Ovis aries: one gene and its partner. The protein of the gene in region 2 purifies or fractionates together with the protein of the main gene of each other region. This does not show direct contact. Links are inferred from orthologs where the notes say so. Each region holds a gene or a part of one and is shown on either strand. Other genes may lie near its edges.

Evidence for each region.
Region 1: the proteins of FIBP (region 2) and C2CD5 purify together in Homo sapiens (affinity purification with mass spectrometry; 3 studies listed by BioGRID and IntAct, counting the BioPlex papers as one, with this or other methods). This does not show direct contact. The link is inferred for Ovis aries from reciprocal best matches to the Homo sapiens genes FIBP and C2CD5.

The regions. Positions count from the first base shown.
Region 1 is NC_056056.1:193,330,113-193,336,868, forward strand, and holds part of C2CD5 (C2 domain-containing protein 5), read left to right. Parts: intron 1-1,647; coding exon 1,648-1,698; intron 1,699-2,590; coding exon 2,591-2,692; intron 2,693-3,980; coding exon 3,981-4,171; intron 4,172-6,756. UniProt on the Homo sapiens protein: Required for insulin-stimulated glucose transport and glucose transporter SLC2A4/GLUT4 translocation from intracellular glucose storage vesicle (GSV) to the plasma membrane (PM) in adipocytes.
Region 2 is NC_056074.1:40,434,614-40,441,842, reverse strand, and holds FIBP (acidic fibroblast growth factor intracellular-binding protein), read left to right. Parts: upstream 1-2,461; 5' UTR 2,462-2,557; coding exon 2,558-2,642; intron 2,643-2,843; coding exon 2,844-3,042; intron 3,043-3,245; coding exon 3,246-3,372; intron 3,373-4,296; coding exon 4,297-4,397; intron 4,398-4,890; coding exon 4,891-5,045; intron 5,046-5,315; coding exon 5,316-5,424; intron 5,425-5,501; coding exon 5,502-5,565; intron 5,566-5,800; coding exon 5,801-5,887; intron 5,888-5,973; coding exon 5,974-6,071; intron 6,072-6,261; coding exon of another isoform or gene 6,262-6,307; exon of another isoform or gene 6,308-6,399; coding exon 6,400-6,469; 3' UTR 6,470-6,520; downstream 6,521-7,229. Other genes in the region: CTSW (cathepsin W), read right to left, coding at 6,845-6,955, 7,037-7,229. UniProt on the Homo sapiens protein: May be involved in mitogenic function of FGF1. May mediate with IER2 FGF-signaling in the establishment of laterality in the embryo.

The DNA.
Region 1 (6,756 bases), on a different chromosome or scaffold from region 2:
ACATATTTGAAGATGGGAGCAGATAGATTCTACATGTATAAGCTCTCTTTGTGGACATTTCATATACAGTTGCTACCAGGGAGTTCCATACTGCCAAGATAATATGAAGGTATAGAGGATAATTTTAGTCATTTTCTTGTTTTCTTTTAGCTTCCCCTCCCTTCTTCCCATCCCCACACAATAAAACTAGGGTCTCTAATGCTGACTGTATTTTCAGTGAGGCTGTGCTGCCCAGGACCTCTGGGAGTCCTGGAACTCCCCTGGGATATGTGAGCCTGGGGTGGGCCACTTACTTTCCCAGCTTGTGCATTGGATCAGCTGTTGCTAGAAATTGAGTGTCAGTTCTGTTTAGTCTTCCTGCTGTAGGTCCTGTCTCCTCCTGGGCTTCCAGTACCCCTCAGGATTCTGAGGACACAGGAGGACACTCCCTTGAAAACTTCACGATGGTCAGGGCACACCCAGTGTAATCCCCCCACAAGTCTTTTTGTGAACTTCTCCTCGTGATCCCTTTTATTGACAGCTGTGTATCGTAAGAGGAATGTTGATCACTGTACTCTCTCCAGTATTAGCTCGTGGTCACTAGCCTTAGGAAAAAGGAGGTGGAGTGGGGACGGGAGATATGTCATTGCCCCCCAGTTGGCAGAAACATTCTGTATAAATCTGATTTTTGAAAATTACAACTTATACAAATTCAAGAATATTACCCCCCAAATCACCATATGACACAGAGACAAAAATATTATATATTTACTTATTTACTTAGTTTATAATTTTTTTAAAAATGGCTGACCAAATTATTCTTAGTGTTTTTATGAGTTATTTCCATCTTGGCAACACTATATCCTCAGTTATGAGATTCTTAGAAATAGAAATTCAAATATGCTAGTGTGGGTAGAGCCTGAAAATTAGAAATAGATGATGAAGATTTTTTTTTAATGTAGTGCTGTTTGAATTTGTACAGTTCCTTAAATATCTGTGATAAAAATATAAACTTTCAGGAAGAATTCAAGATGTTGCTTGTGTGAGCTTACTAGAAAGGAGGTTATAGTTTGGGATTCCTAGTTATTTCTGTGAAAAGTAGTCACCTTTTAGTTCCATAAAGTCATGATAGTTTCAGAGGAAGCTGTTGAAAGGGAAAGCTTTGAATGAGGGCATTGGTGGTAAGGTGGGTGGGGCGGGGCTCATGTATGGTGTGCGTTTATCTGTGAGACGCAGGTCACCGCTTTGTCTGTAGCTCTTAATCTTACTGGCTTTCCCCCCCCACACATTTACCTTCCCGCTTCATTTCAGATTTTCTTCCCAGTACATTGACCCTTTTCTCTGTTCAGATTTCCCACATTCTGCTTCCCTCCCACTAACATTTGTTACTGTGTGGATATTTTCTAACATGTAGAGTTTCTGGAACTTTCTTTGTGTTATAATAACAAGTAATCTTTCTTGACATGGTGTTTATTAACCGAGCTAGTTTTCATATATCAATAGAAACTGCCATTTTAAACCTAGGTACTTTGATTTGGTTTGCTTTTATAATGAGGCCATAAAAATTTTCTCCTATTCATCTGGTTTTTAGAGAGTATTAACCAAGAGCAAAGAGATACTGGCTTGTACTTAGCATCCAAGCTAATGTTGTTCATATTGTCTTACTAGAACACCTGGAGAGTGCAAGTTCTAACTCAGGTATACCAGCTGCACAGAGAGGTGAGTTTGTCTAATTAAGCAAATAGTCACCAAAGGTGTGAAATTCTAGCGTGGTGGAGCATAAGCATACAGACATTGAAGAAATGCACTGGACAATGGAATAGACACCAAAATGTGGCTTTATTGTAGTTAGATTGTGTAATTCAAATATTATTTATGCCATCTAGCATTTTAATAGTGTCCCAGTTTCTAAAGATAAGACTTCAGCTTTTAATATTATTTTTTAGCTCAACAGTAGTAAAAGATACTCTTTTGAAAAGAACTTGTTGGGCTCACACTTGATCCTCACTCCATGTTAATAGAAGCTTTGTTGCCAAAATCAGATGTGGAAATAGGATATTGATAAAAATGACCCTTTGGCTTCCTTGTTACTACTGGTAGAAAGAAGATATTTTGCAAAAGATAAGTTAACTAGTGATTTTTTTTTTCATGTATCCTTTAACATTTGATTCTCATTTATTTATTTATTCATTTTTTTTTAAGTTTCAGAGCAAAAATAGGTCAAGGAATTATTCACTAAGTTCTGATTGTAAATTAAAGTCCTAAGTATAAACAGCTAAAACAGTGTAAAATAAAAACAAAGGAAAGGAAGTTAGTTAAAACGCAGCACGTGACCCTTTCCTTGATCTTGGTAGACCCGCTTCTGTTCCCTCCAAGAGACCACACAGCTCTGACATCACCAGAGATGCTCAGCCAACCGACAAGTTGGTTTTGGACAAATCAGTGTCTAAAGCTTGATTCTTTACTATCTCTCTCACCTGACTTGAAAAGGACCACCTTTCCCCCTAAGTTACAGTTAAATTACATCATCGAGAGGAGTGTTGTGACGAGTAAGAGACGTCATCCATATTTTTTCTTTGTTTTTTCTTTTGTTTTCTGTCTGTGTTTTCAGCAACGTCAGTTGATTACAGTTCCTTTGCAGACAGATGCAGCAGCTGGATAGAGCTCATTAAACTGAAAGCTCAGACCATAAGGCGCGGATCAATTAAGACAAGTAGGCGGATGTTTCTACCACGTTGTGATTTGAGAAGCATATCCTTGATTTCCCAGTGGTGAAGGCTGGCCCTGACTACTCAGTAATAACATTGCCAATCAATCATGTGTTGGAGTGTGAAAGCTGCAGATGCTAACCGTCATTTAGCAAAAGCTTTTGAAGGGCCTTTAGATGTTTAAATTGCAGCTGCAGGGTTGTGTTTTTAGGATTTTATTTTGGTGAAGGTATTCTTAGACGTGTATAAATAGATATTAGGTCACATAGTGGAAGGAAATAAATGAGCTTTTATTGAAGAGACTCGGTGGTATATGGTATCCGTCAGATGACTAAGAGTAATGTCTAGAGTGAGAACAGAAGGTATCTCCAGAGAGAAAGTGGCCAGCTCTTATCTCACTGCTAGACTCAGCAGCAGGACTAAGATTTTTTTTTTTTTTAAATCTATACTCCATGTGTTTTAGTAGACTTTGAGGTAAATGTATTTGAGTGGAAGAGTTGACATTAAAGGGAAGGAACTGTATTTAGGGGGAAGCCCACAGGCTATGGAATCAACCAGGTCTGGTTTTGAATCCTAAAAGTGCCATTTTAATGCCTGTGTGACCTTGGCAAGTTATTTAAGTTTTGTGAGCCTCAGTTACCTCATGCGTTATATGGGGATGATAACACCTATGTCGCTGCATTGTGAGAATTATAGACACACACACGTGTGTGTTTGGTTCATGGTAGTTATTTGATAAGCAGTAGGTATTTGTTATTTTATGAACAATTAACTTTTAGACAGCCAAGGTCATTTGTTAAATTTTTTAAATTACAACTTTGATTGAGAAGGTTTGGGAAAAAAACCTGCTACAACTAGTTAAGATAAGGTTTATCTACAAGTTGACAATGATGAAGTCGTCTGAAAAAAAGATGGAAAACACTGCCCTGGGAAATGGAACAACTTTCACACTCTCGTAATAATTTGTTCCTACAGCAGATTTTTTAATGCTCTACCGCTTTTTCTTTGTCTTCACTTTATAACGATCACTGTGTGTGTAGCTACACCGCATCAACATTTTCTTTTGCAGGAATGCCATTTTTCTTCCCAAAGATTCCATTCCAGCATTTCCGCTTACGTTTTTCTTTCTCTCTCTTTGTAATTGCATGCAGTGCATGGTAATTTCTTTTCTTTCATGACATGGCTTAGCCTCACAGACAGCTGAATGTTGTCACCACTTATTTGGAAACACTAGGGAATCATTGAGTCACCAACTTGTGATCTTGATGCTTTCTCTTCTCTTTCCAATTTTAGCAGTGACAGTTGAAAAAGCAAGTCCAATGGGTGAAGGAAACTTCCGGAATCGTTCTGCTCCACCTTGTGCAAATTCTACCGTTGGGGTTGTTAAGATGACACCTCTTTCTTTCATTCCTGGAGCAAAAATAACAAAATATCTTGGTATAATTAACATGTTTTTTATTCGGGAAACCACTTCTCTACGTGAGGTAACTTTATAGTTGTTATTTCATTGTGTTTGTGAATTTTTGGTGGTTGAAAGTATTAGTATCAAAACCAGACATGTTTCAAATTGTTTGGTTTTTTTTTGCCAAAAGTAACACACACACGCACACGCACACGCACACTTTTTTCCATAGCCTGTCTGGATTGGCTGTAGATGAGGCTCAGATGGTAAAAGTGTCTGCCAGCAATGTGGGAGACCCGGGTTCGATTCCTGGGTCGGGAATATGCCCTGGAGAAGGAAATGGCAACCCCACTCTAATATTCTTGCCTGGAAAATCCCATGGACAGAGGAGCCTGGTAGGCTATAGTCCATGGGGTTGCAAAGAGTTGGACGTGACTGAGCGACTTCACTTTCGCTTTCAGTATTATCACAAGAGTTGTGTTGGGTTTAAATTCATTTGTTATTAGAAGTTACAGATCCTTATCAGATGGTAAATTTAAAAAAAAATAAATGTATCCATGTTTGATAGAGGTTTAAAACAGCCCTGAGCTTAGTTTCTCTGTAGGTATTTGCCTGAGATGGATTTAAATGGCAATTTTTAAGAGTCCACATTAAGAAATAGTAGGGGACTGTATCCTGAATGGATGTCTTTGGAGATTTTTTTTATATCATTTGGTTCTGTCGTTTTCTCCTGACAAAGAAGGAGGCTGCTTGTTTTCTCCTCTAGCCATCAGTGTTACTTGTTCAAGTGCCTACCTCACAATGGGTATCATTAAACTTTAATTTGTTTTTTAAGTAACAGCAGTTATAATCTCTTGCTTGGTGAGGTCAGAATTAAGAATCAGAGTCAGCCTATTATATCTTGCATTACAGAGGAATTTAAACTCAGGAAAAGATGATATTTCTATTTGTCTTATGTTTCTTGAGCAGGGCTGCTAAGCAAATTAATATAGTGAGTAGGGAAAATTTTTAATTATTTAAGTGTGAAACCCAATAAACTCTTCAAAATTGACTTTAGCAGAAGTTCGTATTTTTTTAAAGTGTGTTAATTATAAACACAACTTAATTGTGTTTTTTTCCCCCCGTTGTTTCACCAGCAGTGTTTCTATGCCTTCTTGGAAATAGCAGCCTGCTTACTAACCTCAGCCTCACCCTCCTGCACCTAGCATAGTGCCTGGTGCAGAGGAACCACAAGCCGTTTTTGTGTAAATGAGGGAGTGAATTCTGACAGATTAATTAATTAGATAAATGTTTCCTTTAAGAAAAATTATTTTTGTAATCATATTCTAATTGTGTTGAGATGGAAAAGAAACTATCTCAAGATATTCTAAAAAACCTTTTAATGTAGAATTAAAATGGGCAACACTTTTAGATCCATTGAGGTTTGACAAAGAAATCTGGGTTTGAGAAGCTGTCATAGATTGGTGAATTAACCTTTTCCAGTTGCACATGGATATTATACTGTCAAATCCATAAAATTTTCTTTCCAAAGTGTCTTTTCAACTGCTGAAGCAACCATACCCTGAAATGTTGCTTCACAGATTTCCTTTCAACAGAGATTTATAATACCAGCTATAATGTAGTTAATAGTATAATATGTAGTATATGCATGCATGTGGGCTAAGTTGCTTCAGTTGTGTCTGGCTGTTTGCAGCCCCATGACTGTAGCCCACCAGGCGTCTCTGAAGATGAGACTCTCAAGGAAAGAATACTGGAGTGGGTTGCCATACTCTACAGGGGATCTTCCTGACCCAGGGATTGAACCCACGTCTCTTATGACTCCTGCCTTGGCAGGTGGGTTCTTGACCACTAGTACTACCTGAGAAGCCTGTACATAGTTTAATACCTGAAATCTGTTCATTCCTTGTTATTTGCTTTCAGTTATGTAATATTAGAATTTACCCCTGTAGTGTCTGTTACTCTAAAATTTTTTGACTTGATATGTAAGAGGAAAACTGATTAAAGCAGAAGAGAAGACTGTCCTGGACTGTGATTGAGTCAGAGGCAGGCTTGAAGCAACTCCTTTAATTCCTTAATTTCAAACTTTATGTAGGAGCCTGTAGCTTTTCAGAAAGATGTGACCTAGACAAATGCTTTTTCTAACAGTGTATTAAATTTTGCCCTTCCAATTTAAAGTTGGAAATTTCTTCCTAGACTGTAAAAAACCTTCAGTAAAATTTGTGGAAAATTTAGATTGTAAAGCATTTTGAGCTATCAGCTGGCCTTTGGTTTCTGTCTTGTTTGGCTTTGAACACTGCAAAAGTTCCCCAAACTGTTGGGTTTCTTTCCATGACAAATATGTGCAGATCACTGGGCACAGGCGCCTGTTGAAATAGGTGTTAGTGTATATGGCTGTGAGCATGGCAGATGCAGCCCCTGGCATGGTGGGATTTAGTGGACAGTAAATAATCATCATGTGGTGAGAACATGGCTCTTAGTAATATAAGTCATATAAAGAAATACAACAAGGCTCTTGGAGAATGTTAACAGGAGAACGTAATTTAGGTCTGATAGGGTAGGTTGCTCTGAAGAAGTCACATGTAAACCAAGACCTGAAGAATTGAGTACGAGTTACCCTGGTGGAAAATCAGGTGTGGACCCTTCATGTACAATGACCCCGAGGCTGGA
Region 2 (7,229 bases):
CGCCGCCGCGGCCCAGGAGCCCCACGACTACCTCCCCGGCGCTGGGGCTCAGGCACCCGCTCAGTGGACAAGCTGTGGCGGAGCTAGCGTAGGATGCAGCGCCCGCGAGGGGGCGGGCACGCGGCGGGGCGCGCGCCGGGGCGGGGCCCCATGACGTCAAGGACAAACAGCCAATCCGGGCTAGCGCCCTCGGAAAGGGGCGGGGTCCAGGCTCCCAGAATGAAGCCCTTCCCTGCCCACTTCGGACCGCGGTGTTTCTGATGCTCGCTGACTCTGGGTATCCGTGTCCCCGTCCTCGGTGCCAGTGAGCCCTAAACTAGGCTCTTCGTACCTTCCAGTTCTAAACCGCATCAAGCTCTAGCCCAGGCCTCTCGGCTCCCACTGAGAACCAAGATTCCAGTGTCGACCCGCGACTCTTCCACCCACCCTCTGACAAAATCCAGACGGATCGCCTTTCCATCCTTCCTAGCTTTGCTCGAACTGTAGAGTCTCAACTCACTGAGCATCGCTTTCAGTCCTTGGAAACTGAAGTCCAAACGTCCTGGCTCACATCATCAGCCTACTCTGAGCACAGACCGTTTCCTGTCCGGTGGGAGGGGCATACACGGATCTGTTTGTTCAGTAAACTTTTATTGTGTGTAAGGGCTATGCAGAAATAAACTTGAGTCATATCCTTATACTGTCCTTAAAGAGGTCTTGATCTGGCAGAGGCGACAAGCTGCGATGAAGAAGCAAATGGAGGAAGACCACATTTTGAGGGGCTGCCCCCACCCACAAAGTGCGTGCTAAGTCGCCTCAGACGTGTCAGATTCTGCGACTCTACGGACTGTAGCCTGGCAGGCTCCTCTGTCCATGGGGATTCTCGAGGCAAGAATACTGGAGTGGGTGCCATGCCCTCCTTCAGGGGAGCCTCCCGACCTAGGGATGGAACCCACATCTCATGTCTCCTGCATTGGCAGGTGGGTTCTAAGGCCACCTGGGAAGCTTTCCCCAAAGAGGTGCTACCTGAGGGAGACCCCGAAAGATGTATAGGACTTTGGCGAGTCATGAGAGAGCTATTTGAGGAAGAGAGAATAGCACGATGAAAGTCTGGGGACTGAAAGAGCCTCCATGCTTTAGGAACAGCGAGAGTAAACTGGTTTTTCGTGTTTGTTTTGGAAAGGCAGTTCTTAGAGAAAGTGGTAAGAGAGGAAGGCAACAATGGCAGTCAGAAGCCAAATTCTTAAGGGCTTTAAATACTAAGATGGAGCATTTACACAGACCAGTAAGGATTTCAGCAGGGGAGTAACATTTTTGAAAATACATTTTTAAAAAAGGTTGATTGGGCTGCTCTGTGTGGGATGGACCACAGGGAGGGGATGGACCACAGGGAGGGGATGTAGGCAGAAAGATTACTGAGAACAATGTGTCAGTGGGCAAGGAGAGCTATGCAGGACTGGGCTTGGACACGGCAGTGGGGGTGGAGAGGACAAAACAGATACTAGAAATATTCAGGAGGCAAATCAGGAGACTTGAATGTGGAGAGAGAAGAGTCTGGGAGAAAGCCCAGGTTTCTGGTATGAGAACAGGGTGGATGTAGGGGCTGTTCCTGAGATAGGAACCCGGTTGGGGGTGGGGTGCGAGGTGTGTGTGTGGGGTGGTGGGAACAGATCAGGAAACCAACAGGTCTGGCTGCGGGGAACAGAGTGGAAAGAGTTACAGATTGGTGGCCGTCTGGATGTGGACTTCCAGACAGAGCTCTAAGCTGTATCAGGGAGATCACTAGTTGGAGGGGTGGCGGTGGGGCAGTTGGCTTAAAACCATGGGAGTAGGTACCCCATGTTCAGGAGAGGGGCTCATCTGCAGGATGGACTCAGGGGCCCTCAGTAAGGGCCCTTGAAGACGGGCCAGACAACTTTTTTTGCATAAAAAAGATTCAGGATAGAGCCCTGTTGTTTAGTCCCTCAGTCGTGTCCTACTCTTTCACGACCCCAAGGACTGCCCAGGCAAGAATACTGGAGTGGGTAGCTATTTCCTTCTCCAGGGGATCTTCCCGATCCAAGGGTCGAACTAGCATCTCCTGTATTGGCGGGTGGATTCTTTATCGCTGAGCCACCAAGGAACCCCATAGAGCCCTGTGGAGCTCCTACATTCAGGATACAGGTCAAAGTAGTGGGGCTCCCCGCAAAAGGGCACAGAACAACCAGGAGGATTTGAGGGTGAAGGTTGCCGGCATAGGGGCAACTAGCCAGAGGCCTTGGCTCTGGATGCCCTCCTGCAAACCCGGCCGGCGTGAGGGTGGGGTGGGCTGGGCTGGGCTGAGCTGGGCTTGGAACCGAGGAACCCGAGACTCCCCCTCCCGCTGGGAGGAGGGGCTACCCAACCGTCTCCGCCTCAGCCTCTTTCCTCGCGGCTCCTGCCCAGACTAGCTCTGTCCCGGAAGTGGTCCTCTTCTGGCTCCGGGTGCCGGGAGACGAATGTCAGTGCTCCCGGAAGTGGCCCGGCGGCGGCGCGCCGGGCCCGGGCAGTGCTCGCTCCTGCTGGGGCGCTGCGGTAGCGCCCGGGTCCGGGCGTCGCCATGACCAGCGAGCTGGACATCTTCGTGGGGAACACGACCCTCATCGACGAGGACGTGTATCGCCTTTGGCTGGACGGTTATTCGGGTCTGTGGGGGGCTGACTGGGGTAGCCAGTCTGGCGGAGCGGTTGTTTTGGATGGGAGAGGGGGCCGAACCAGGACTAGGCATCCTATAGGGCAGTGGGCAGAGGCCTGGGAGTATGAAATGCCTGGGGCTCGGGGCTGAAATCCCTGAAGAACCTCTAGGGCCGGCGGGGCGGGGCCTGATGCCAGCGCTCGCTTCCCAGTGAGCGACGCGGTGGCTCTGAGGGTGCGCTCGGGAATTCTGGAGCAGACCGGCGCCACAGCAGCGGTGCTGCAGAGCGACACCATGGACCACTACCGGACTTTCCACATGCTCGAGCGCCTGCTCCACGCGCCGCCCAAGCTGCTTCACCAGCTTATTTTCCAGATCCCGCCCTCTCGACAGGCGCTGCTCATTGAGAGGTGCTCACCTGGCGGGTGGTGGGGATGCCGACCAGTCTGACCATGTATCCATTTTGCAGGCTGTCGAGGAGGCCCGGGGACGGGCGGGACTTACCCAAGCCGGGAGAAAGTTGAGAGCAGAAGGGGCCAAACCCAGGTCCTGCCAGCTCTCCTCTCCCCTCTTTTTATGGAAAGTCAGTAGGGTCGTCCCCAACTCCCCACAGGTATTATGCCTTTGACGAGGCCTTCGTGCGGGAGGTGCTGGGCAAAAAGCTGTCCAAGGGCACCAAGAAAGACCTGGATGATATCAGCACCAAAACAGGCATCACCCTCAAGAGCTGCCGGAGACAGGTGGGCACTGCACCCATCTGCAGCCCGCCCCTCTGTGCCGTCCCTTTGGTTCCTGCCTCACCTCCACCCCACTCCAACACTTCTGTGGCAGTGCCTTCATTTCCACTCTCCTCTCTTTTTGCCCCTTCCAAGCCATCCCCTACTCTTGAGCCAGAGTGACCTCTCAGAAGCCTACATTTTTACCTTAGCTTTCTTCTGCTCACGAACTTTGAATGGCTCCCATTCTTTCCTATAGCAGCCACATTCCTTGGTCTCGACCTTCAGACCCTCCTATCATCCTGTCCCTGCCTCCTTCTCTAGACTCCCCAGCCCCTGGCTTTCTTTTGCTCATCTGCCCCTACCTGTATTATTTTTCCAAGGTATTATTTTAGGACATATATACCCCTTGAAATCTAAGGCAGGGTCAGGGGTTGAGGGGGGTGGTCATATACCACCTTCTCCAAAAGCCTTGCCAGTGGTTCCAGGAAGAAGTAACCCTTCTAGTGGGCCTTTAGCATTTTCCTCTGTGACTCCTTTGAGCTCCCCAAGATGGCTTAGTATTTGCTCTTTTTCGAGTTCCTAGGGCTTAGCCAGGAAGGCCATTTTCAGCACAAACTAGTGAAGAACTAGAGAGCATGATGCTAAAATAGGGGTGAATTTATTGATACGAGTGAGTAAACATTTATCCAAGGCAAGATGGTAGAAGCTGGTGAACATTTGGGGAATTGATAAGAGATATTAATAATTAATGGGGCTTTCCAGGTGGCATATTGGTAAAGAATCCACCTGCCAGTGCAGGAGGTAATAGTTTGTTGAAGCAATAACAAATACTCCATCAGTGTCTGGTGATTGGATAGGTGGGTCAGTGACAGAGGGATGCTCACCAAACAGTTTATTGGGTGAGCAACCTGACCAGTCCTTCCTCCTCCTCTAACTGCCCTGCAGTTTGACAACTTTAAGCGCGTCTTCAAGGTGGTGGAGGAAATGCGGGGCTCCCTGGTGGATAACATCCAGCAGCACTTCCTCCTGTCCGATCGGCTGGCCAGGTGAGGGGCCAACTGCCTCCCCCTCCTGCACACTCCTTCCTTGTGCCCTGAAGCTGACCTTTATTTTCTGCCCCAACCCACATGACCTCCATGCTGTAGGGGGGGCAATGGTTATCCCTCTCTTGGGCTGTACTTTGGTTCAGACTGGCCTGGGTTCAAATCCTAGCCTGGCCATTCACCAGCTGGACTGTTGTGAGGTGCCATGGGTAAAGCTCATGATGGCACAGCCCTTGGGGCTTAGTAAGTACTCAGTAAATGGTCGCTGTTACCCTGTGGTCTCCCACCGTGTCCCTTAGGAGACCCAGGCTGAAACCTTCTCTTTGCCCAGAGGAGGAGGCCCAGAGAGATGTGACTTGAAACCCGTCACACAGTGAGTTAGGGTAGAGAGAGGCCAGAACACGGAGGTCCCGCTGATATTGTAGCTGAGAGCTGCTTGGTAAGAAGGAATTTCAAGCCTTGATGGACACCCCACCCCCCGCTCCCCACCCCGCAGGGACTATGCAGCCATCGTCTTCTTTGCCAACAATCGCTTTGAGACAGGGAAGAAAAAACTGCAGTATCTGAGCTTTGGGGACTTTGCCTTCTGTGCTGAGCTCATGATCCAGAACTGGACCCTCGGAGCCGTCGGTGAGGCCCCCACTGACCCAGGTGCAGGCCCCCGTTCCCAGCAGCCTTTCTTCTTCAGGGCCCCTGCCCAGCCGCTTCTGCTCATGGCCCAGCGCCGCCACACACAGCTTCTCTGCAGACAAGGGACCCACAGCGTCTCTCTGGCTTGGGGCCAGTCCCTCCAGCTCTCTCACACCCAGCGTGCTCTTTTGTCTTGTGGGATGCCATGAAGTGGTAGGGGGGAAGGCTCAGGTTATCACAGGAGGCATTTTTTAATCTCGCACCTCAATTCCCTTCATGGGCCTCACTTAGACTCCCAGGTGGATGACATGGACATGGACTTAGACAAGGAGTTTCTCCAGGACTTGAAGGAGCTCAAGGTGCTTGTGGCTGACAAGGACCTTCTAGACCTGCACAAGAGGTGACCCTAGGGGTCTGTGGGGCAGGGCCTGAGGTGGGCGCCCAGGCGGCGCGGGCCTTGACCCTATCTTCCTTCAGCCTGGTGTGCACTGCCCTCCGGGGGAAGCTTGGTGTCTTTTCGGAGATGGAAGCCAACTTCAAGGTCTGTGGCCCAGTCCAGCCTCTGTCCCTGGGGCATCTTCAGCATCCAGAGCCCTGCCCCACAGTGGCTCTGCTGTTGGCCTTAGGCGGTGCTGCTGTTCCCTCTGCCTGCCCCTGGGGGGAGCCAGCTCTTAAATGCTGGGGAATTACTTGATTGAGGGAGGTGGATAGATTTGGTCTCAGCCCCCAGCCTCTCTCAGACAGCAGGCAGAACTCCCAGGCTCCCTCCCCCACAGAACCTGTCCCGGGGGCTGGTGAATGTGGCCGCCAAGCTGACCCACAATAAGGATGTCAGAGACCTGTTTGTAGACCTCGTGGAGAAGGTGAGTTGTCCTGCTGGCTGCCCTCTGACCCCATCCTGGCCTGTCCCTGGGCTGTACCAGTGCTGGATGTTACCTTGGACCCACAGTTTGTGGAACCCTGCCGCTCCGACCACTGGCCGTTGAATGATGTGCGTCTCTTCCTGAATCAGTATTCGGCTTCGGTCCACTCCCTGGATGGCTTCCGGTGAGAGATCTCAGGCTTCCTTATGTGCTGGCCTCCTGCTGGGGCCCAGCCCTCCTGCAGACTCTGAGTTCCCTGTTCTTTGGCCCTGGGGTTGGAAGTCACTCTGTTGACCAGAGTCTCAGCTCCATCACTGAGAAACTGACCTGATCTTGACAAGTTCCTTTCTCTCTGTGTGCCTCCATTCCTTCAGACATAAGCTGGGGGTGACAGCAGTAAGGCTTATAGGAATCCTATGAGGATTAAACGAGTGATGGTGTTGAGAGCACGTGGAGCAGGGTCATGCGGATCCAGTCAACATCAGCCAACACCCTAACTGTTACCATTGCAGGCACCAGGCGCTCTGGGACCGCTACATGGGCACCCTCCGTGGCTGCCTCCTGCGCCTCTATCATGACTGAGGCCCCTCCCCCCGCCCTGGCCACACTGACAATAAAGTTGCCATGACTTTGGAGGAGGCTGTGAGTGGGTACACGCATGGGTCCGCGCATGGACGTGTGTGCCCGTTGCACACGTACATCTCTTTGAGTGTCACGGTGTATGAGGATGTATGTGTCCGTTGACCCCACAGGGACAAGGACATGTCAGAGAACAGTATCTACTCGCTCCCCATCCATTTCCCCACCCCAGCCGTGTCCACTCCAAAGACAGGGGTCTTGTCTTGCTTTATTCAATCCCCAGCAAGAATACTGGGATACTAGGCAAAAACCTTGGGGCAGGTGGCAGGGAAAGGTAACTGGCACAGCAGGAGAGAGCCAAGGGGCAGCCAGGCAGCCTCAGGGAGGGCAAGAGACTTGTTGCTTCTTCTTAGGTATGTCCACTATGGCAGTGACCGGGTACTTGGTGATGCCGCAGGTGTTACTCCCTCGATGCAGCCGGAAATAGCCCTAAGAGGTTAGGGCCCATCAGCACCAGACAGCGGGGAGAGGTCTGTCCTGCCCTGTCTGCCCCCAGTAGACCACACTCACCTCCTCACCCCAGTGAGGCCCCCAGGAGTTCTTCAGGGTCCAGTATGCCATGGAGCGGCGAGGGCGAGTGTAGGATCTGAACGAGGCCGCCTTCCCCTGCCTCCCCTCCACCGACTTGGTTTTACCAAAACCCACCAGCAGGACAGAATGATCGACGTGTCTGGGGTCACAGGTAGTAGGTGTGGCCTTGATC